Linked DNA regions of Coturnix japonica. The protein of the gene in region 2 purifies or fractionates together with the protein of the main gene of each other region. This does not show direct contact. Links are inferred from orthologs where the notes say so. Each region holds a gene or a part of one and is shown on either strand. Other genes may lie near its edges.

Region 1 (4,587 bases), on a different chromosome or scaffold from region 2:
ACATTGTTTGACATGTGACAAGGGCTGGGCCAGATCAAGGTTTCAACGTAAGGCTCTGAGATGCAGATAAAATAAGCTATAAAGACTTGGAAATGTAAGTTCTTAAATATTTTTATGTTCAAAACTTGAAAAATAATCCTGGATGTTGGACAGGTAGATGACATCTAAATTTAATGCAGTTTTCTGTGTTCTGTGCATTTCAGTAGTAAATTATCTTGCAACGTTAACCAGGTAGACTCTGCTTATTTTTGCTCCCACCTTGGCAGCACTGTCACTCAGACAAGTTTAGAAAGCCCTTTCGCAAAGAAAGGAACAAGGGTAATGATTTATATCTGTTCAGCTTGATTGTGTACTGATCTTTCTGGTATCTGTGCACGCTGTCCTTTACTTCCCCCTGCTTAAAAGACTCCAACCTAGCAGAGTGAGATAGAATCTACTAACTTGCATTTGTACTAGGGAAAACTTGTAATCTGGACATAATGCATGAGGCAACTCTTCCTGTCTCTGTTCCAACAAGACTGTAGTTGGGTTGTGCTAACCTTGCAGTGAGTCACGTTTCCTCCAAAAGTGATCAATCCAGCCTGACAGAGCAGCGTGTGTGTGAGAGAGGGAGAAAGAAAGAGAGAGCACTTTACTTTTACAGTTAGAACAGATAGACTTCCTCATATCTTCTCCCTTTTGCTGGCTGTAAGTAAATACGTGTTGTGGTTCAGAAGGCTGTGTGACCTGTGCCTGGCTTGCCCCTTTTGTGAACTTCTTAAAAGCACGTGAAAACTAGCTTTTTCTTCAGCCTCCCTAAGGAAGCAGAATGGCAGACTGGTGTTGCCTTTCTGTCCATCTGTAGTCATCTCTAGTGTGGTTGCATATTTTTTTCATGTAACTTCTGGTCAAATTGTGTATACTAATATATTATTAAATCCCTACCATAGAACTTGGTGGCTGAGGAGAGATCCAAGTAGCGATATGCAGAGGGAGAGATGGGTACATGTAAGCTGTTTAGCTGCAGCTGATCAGCTCTGTGCTGAGCTTCACTGGTGCTTGCTGTGTGTAGGAGCGTTAATGCACTTGAAGTGCTTTTGTTGGCCCCGTGGCTTGCGGAAAACGTCGTCTAAAGATCAGGTCAACGCATGCCTGTTACTGCTGCAGCCCGTAGAGAGATTGTCTGTCTCTACTGCTGTCCTTATGTAACTTTTCAGCAGGTTGCGTCTGGGCCGCTATTTCGAGGCGCAGCCTTTGCTGTCGAGCCCTCGACAGGCCTCAGAGCGAGGGGAAGGGGCAGCTGTGCCGTGCTGCGGCCTACACGCCGGCCCGAGGCCTCCAGCCCCGCCGTGTTAAGGCGGCAGCGCGGCGCGTCGGGGCCAGGCCTGCAGCCGCCTCCTGCCCAACATGGCGCAGGTACGGCCGCCCAGCGGGGCGAGGAGCGCTCGTCCCTCAGCTGCGCCGCGAGCCCGGGCACGGCCGCGTAAGCCCGGCTGGCCCGGCGGAACAGCCGCGCGCCTGAGGGCGGCAGGGCCCACACAGCGCAACGCGCTGCGCTCGGACGGGTATTTACGGCACGGGGGCGCGCGGGCGGCCGTTACGGTATCGGGGGGGTGAGGGGGAAGGAGGGACTACGTGCGCGGGGGCGGGGCGGGCAGTGCTGCGTGCTCGGCCCCGCGAGGCGCGTCTCCCTCGCGAGCTCGGTGAAAGGATTTGGCGCCAGGCGGGTCCGCTCTGCAGCTGCCGCAGCCGCACGAACCAGCCGCGCCACCCGCCCACCGCCTCCCGCCGGGGCCTCGACCCAGAGCCGCCGCCGCCCGCCCGAGCCCAGAGCCGCCCCGCGCGCCGCCCAGGGATCGAGCCGCCGCCGCCGCCATGAGCTGCTCGCCCGTCAACGTGAGGAAGCTGAAGGTGTCGGAGCTGAAGGAGGAGTTGAAAAAGCGGCGCCTCTCCGACAAGGGCCTCAAGGCCGACCTGATGGAGCGGCTCCAGGCCGCGCTGGACCAGGAGGCCGGCGGGGGGGGCCCAGCCGGCGGCGCGGCCGAGCCCGGCAACGGCAGCGTGGAGGGGGAGGCGGCCGAGAGCGGCGGCGGCGCCGCGCAGCTCCGCCAGGGGGGAGGCCTCGAGCAGGCCGCGGCTTCGGCGGCGGACGACGACGACGAGGAAGGGCTGGAGGCCGCCGACGGCGACGCCATGGAGCTGGGAGAAGAGAACGGCGAGCGGGCGGGGGCCGGGGGCGGCCCGATGGAAGAGGAGGCGGGCGGCGAGGAGGAGGAAGAGGAGGAGGAGGAGGATGAGAACGGAGACGATCAGGGCTTCCAGGAGGGGGAGGACGAGCTGGCCGACGAGGAGGAGGCCGCGGCCGGGGACGCCAACGGGCACGGGGAGCGGCAGCCCCAGGCCCAGCAGCCCGCCCAGCAGCAGCCCGCGCCGCGCGCCGCCGCCAAGGAGGCCCCGGGCAAGAGCGCTGCCGGCGCATCGGGACCCGCGGCGGCCGCATCCACCGGCCCGGCCGGCCCCGCCAAGCAGCAGCAGCAGCAGAAGAAAGCGGAAGGTGGCGGCGGAGGAGGCCGCCCCGGGGCCCAGGCGGCTGCGGGTGAGTGTGCGCGGCGGGAAAGGGGGGGGAGGGAGCCGTTAATCCTCCACCTCGGCCGCGAGGAGCGGGGCAACGGGCCGCACGGAGCTTTGCGGGCCGCGAGCGGGCGCCTCCCCCGGGGGAGACGGAGAGCGAGGAGGGCTGGGGGAGGGGGCTTCTACCGCCCCCGTGCCGCGTGGTCCCCTCGAGGCCGGGGCGGGGGGTCTGGGGAGCGGGACGGGCGCGGGGCGGGGGAAGCGGGGGCGGGGAAGGGACCGGGGGGGGGGGGGGGGGGGGGGGGGGGGGGGGGGGGGGGGGGGGGAGGTAAGGGGAGGGGCGGGCACCGAGGGGCCGCTGGGGCGCGCTGTATTGTGCTGAGCGGCGCCGGGCCGCCTGACGTCACCTCCGGCCGGGGCTCCTCGGGATGGCGCTGGGAAGGCTCGGTACAATGGAGGCGGGCGGAGGCGGAATCCCTGCCCCGCGGGCGGCAGGGCGGCCCCGCAACCACAGCCCGCCGCGCTCGGCGGCCGAGAGGCGGCGCCGTAGTGCTCGGCGCCACGGGGCCCTGCGAGCGGCGTGGAGCCGGCGGGCTGCGGGACGGGCGGAGCCGCAGCGCTTTGTGTCCGCGCAGCGCACCCAGAGGGACGGGCTTTCGCTCGGCATCGCGGTGCATCGCTGGTTTAGCGGATGGGTTTGGAGTGCGCAGGGAAAACTCGAAACCATGATGTTGTTATTGTAGTGAAAAACGGGATTCTGCCGTGAGCTGCTATTGTTTGGGTTTTATTGGGTTTATTTTGGGTTTTATTTGGGTTTATATATTTTGGGTTTTATTTCCGACTAAAGAGTTATTCCGTGGTGTTAAAGTCATCGGTTTTGTTACAGGAGATGGCAAAACAGAACAAAAACCCGGTGAGAAAAAGAGGGGTGTCAAGAGACCACGTGAAGACCACGGCCGTGGATATTTTGAATACATTGAAGAAAATAAGTACAGCAGGTAAATAAGCTTTCAATGCTGGGCACCATTGTATGAGTGAGGAGAGGTAAGATGGGCTTACTCTAAAAAAGCGTTTCCTCTTACATTGGAAGAGCGCCTGGCTTCATTCTTCACTGTTTTCTTCTTAGGGCCAAGTCCCCTCAACCACCTGTTGAAGAAGAAGATGAACACTTTGATGACACAGTGGTGTGTCTCGATACCTGTGAGTAGCCATGCTTTCCTTTGGTCTGCAGGGATACCAAACTGTCTTTAAGCTTAAAGCCCCACATTTCAGAAATACGGGGTTAAACTGTTTGGTGATTTGCATTACCAGACAACATAGAAATGTTTGATCCTTGCGTTTTAGCATACAAAAGGTATATTAGTCTTCATATTAACAATATTCAGCTAAATTTTTACCTGGAAGTATGTGATGTGCTAATTTGCTGAAGAAATCCTAACTGAAATGGTAGAGTTGCATATGGCAAAACTGACTGAGTGTTCAGTATGTATAGGTGATGCTTGAAACAACCTGAGGAACTGATAACAGCACATCAGCTTCTCACTTAAAGAACCAATAGTAGATAGCTATGGTAGTAAAACGCCTGGACTGAGATTCCTGCATAACTCACTGAAGCCTTATTGATGTATCAACAAGTTTGGGGTTTCTTCTGCTGTTTTCTGACAAATTAACAATCAGCTTAAGTCTGCTGGGAAAAAAACTAAATGACCCATTCGTGTATTCTGAGAGTTGGAGGTGGTTTGTGTAAGTACTGCTGTGATATACCATGACCAGGGTAAAAACCTGTGTTCTTATGGGTAAGTATCAGTTGTTACTGTAGAATTTAAAACTTAAGGTAATGCATTAACTTGTCAGATTCTTTAAATTCCATGAAATGCGACCTTAAGTTTTGGCTTCATTTGGCATATTTGCTAGTAGTTTCAGGTTTTTTCTTCCTGAGAAATGTTTTGAAATGGAAGGAGGCATTAGTTTACAGCCACGTATTTTGCTGAATATGCCATTATCTTCCAACGTGGTGAGTAGCCATCTTTGTGGGAG
Region 2 (2,796 bases):
ACTTGGCCACTACTGTGACAGAAGAAATTCTTGAGAAATCCTTCTCTGAATTTGGAAAGCTGGAAAGAGTTAAGAAACTAAAGGATTATGCTTTTGTTCATTTTGAGGACAGAGGTGCAGCAGTGAAGGTGGGTTGTTTATTCTTGCTTATCTAGATCAGATGTGAGGAGCTCTCTGTGAAGATGCTTTTAGAAATTCCTTAACAGTGAATATCTTATGACAGTTTCTAGAGCGTGTATAGCAGGGCTCCTTTTGTGAAAATTCTATTACTAATAATTTTGTTCCTATGATTTCAGTAGCTAGGAGGATGTGAAACTTGCAAGGAACAAAACTGTTCCAAGTTAACAAGTAGACTGGAAAAGAGGTATAGACCAATGCAGCAGAGTCTAGAGAAGAGGAGGAAAAAATAATCAACCTAGACAGTTTTTCTGAGGAAGCGACAGAAGGTATCAGTTGTCTCTCAAAGACCCTTATTTAAAGACTGTGTAGTTTTTGGAATGGCAGAAATATTGTGTAGGAATTGCAGGGTAGTTTGTAGAAGTTACTCCTTATTTATAAAAAGTATTTGAAAGCAGTCGTGCGTGGGGGCAGGAAGGTGGTGGAGGAAATGTCTTATGCCATGGAGTCTCTTAAGCTGTGTAGTGTATGGGGTTACATAGTTCAGAGGGTCTTTCATTTTCAAACTTAAGGTAGCATGCAGCAGTATATCTGCCCTGTCTGACTCCTCTTTATGGCTGCTGAATTGGTTTGTGAATTCTGTGGGTTAGTTCTGTGTATGTTTGTGCTGTTTGTTTTTAATGAAAGCGATATTATGATATGGATTGCATGGAACTCATTAATTGATTCCAGTGGCTGTTGTACTCTCTGAGCTTCTTTCAAATAAACCCTTATTGTTACAGTTTTTGAAGATAGGTCTGTGCAGACATATGGAGCCTTTTATTAATTCATGTATTTGTACCCAGACACGTTCAGTGCAGGGCAGTAACTCCAAGCAGAGAACAGGGAGGTATAGTCCTACTTGTACTTTGTGTATGTACATCAAGTACTATTTGTGCATGCATTTGATAATTACAGATTACACGTGGTCTGTTACTTGAGGATTGCTGTATTACTTCATGAAGTTGCCAAGATTCAACTTTTGTTGTTCTTTTTTGCCCCCTTAAGTGTGTGTCCTTTCTTGTTCACAGTCAGCTATGTGTAAAAATACTTGCTGTCCTCTGAGATACTCTTTCAGTGCATTCCGATAGTCCAAATATAAAAATGCTGTCTCTCATGTGTGCATTCTGCCTTCCTTGCAAGTACACGGAGTATTCATGTCAGCGTGTGTAGTGAGAACTCTTTGAACTATTTCTAAGGAGTTCAGGAACATAAAAATCAGATGTAGCACTGTAACTTTTTGAAATATAATGCTCCATATGGTTTGAGATTCTTTTACCTTCTGATACAAAGAAAATGTGTTGTTTTTTTTTTAACTTGGCCTCATTTGAACTGCTTGAAAGAATAACCTGGAAGAATTCTCTTCAAGACATACAAAGCAGTAGCCCGACCAACTTCTTTTTTTTCCCCCTGAAAGTTCTGGTTTCCTCTTGGCTGAAAATGAGTTTTCCTTGTTTCTCTTCTAATTTTTGTACAGGCTATGAATGAAATGAATGGAAAAGAGATAGAAGGGGAAGAAATTGAAATAGTGTTAGCAAAGCCACCGGATAAGAAAAGGAAAGAACGTCAGGCTGCCAGGCAGGCCTCCAGAAGTACTGCGTGAGTGTTCATTCTTGAATTACTACTATACTGCAAAGTTAAATTCTGCTGTAAAACACAGAGTTTAGAAGAAACTGAACCCCCTTTTTCCTTCTTTTCCCCTCCGTGATGTTGGTAATTAACAAGGGGAAGTTTATACTTTCTTCTGGGAGAGTTTTCAAGCTAAATTAATGTGTGTTTCTTTTTTTTAATAGGTATGAAGACTATTATTACTACCCTCCGCCTCGCATGCCACCTCCTATTAGAGGCAGAGGCCGTGGAGGGAGAGGTGGATATGGATATCCCCCTGACTATTACGGATATGAAGATTATTACGATTATTATGGCTATGACTACCATAACTATCGTGGTGGATATGAAGATCCTTACTATGGTTATGAAGATGGCTATGCTATAAGAGGAAGAGGAGGAGGAGGAAGGGGTGGGAGAGGTGCACCTCCACCACCTAGGGGGCGGGGAGCACCACCACCAAGAGGTAGAGCTGGCTATTCACAGAGGGGGGCACCCATGGGACCGCCAAGAGGAGCCAGGGGTGGGAGAGGGGGTCCTGCACAGCAGCAGAGAGGACGCGGTGCTCGTGGAGCCAGGGGCAACCGTGGGGGCAACGTAGGAGGCAAGAGAAAGGCAGATGGGTACAACCAGCCAGATTCCAAGCGGCGCCAGACCAATAACCAGCAGAACTGGGGCTCCCAACCCATCGCTCAGCAGCCGCTCCAGCAAGGTGGTGACTATGCCGGTAACTATGGTTACAATAATGACAACCAGGAATTTTATCAGGATACTTATGGGCAACAGTGGAAGTAGACAAGTGAGGAGGGATCGAGAATTTTGGAAACATAGAATTGGCTATAGCTCTACATACTACAAAACAAAATTGGCTTAATGTTTCATCCTTCAGTAGCGATTGGCTACCATTTGTATTGGGCTGAAGAATCACTCTATTGTGTATATACTCGAGTCTCTTAGTTTTCTTTTTTTTTTTCTTTTTTTTCTTTTTTTGTTTTTTTGTTTTTTTCATAAATGCACTTGGACATTACTGGG

The links. The genes of interacting proteins can lie anywhere in the genome.
Region 1: the proteins of HNRNPR (region 2) and HNRNPU purify together in Homo sapiens (affinity purification with mass spectrometry; 3 studies listed by BioGRID and IntAct, with this or other methods). This does not show direct contact. The link is inferred for Coturnix japonica from reciprocal best matches to the Homo sapiens genes HNRNPR and HNRNPU.

What each region holds. Positions count from the first base shown.
Region 1 is NC_029518.1:31,194,793-31,199,379, forward strand, and holds the start of HNRNPU (heterogeneous nuclear ribonucleoprotein U), read left to right. Parts: upstream 1-1,645; 5' UTR 1,646-1,854; coding exon 1,855-2,575; intron 2,576-3,436; coding exon 3,437-3,548; intron 3,549-3,676; coding exon 3,677-3,750; intron 3,751-4,587. UniProt on the Homo sapiens protein: DNA- and RNA-binding protein involved in several cellular processes such as nuclear chromatin organization, telomere-length regulation, transcription, mRNA alternative splicing and stability, Xist-mediated transcriptional silencing and mitotic cell progression.
Region 2 is NC_029538.1:1,446,618-1,449,413, forward strand, and holds part of HNRNPR (heterogeneous nuclear ribonucleoprotein R), read left to right. Parts: coding exon 1-128; intron 129-1,633; coding exon 1,634-1,755; intron 1,756-1,949; coding exon 1,950-2,559; 3' UTR 2,560-2,796. UniProt on the Homo sapiens protein: Component of ribonucleosomes, which are complexes of at least 20 other different heterogeneous nuclear ribonucleoproteins (hnRNP). hnRNP play an important role in processing of precursor mRNA in the nucleus.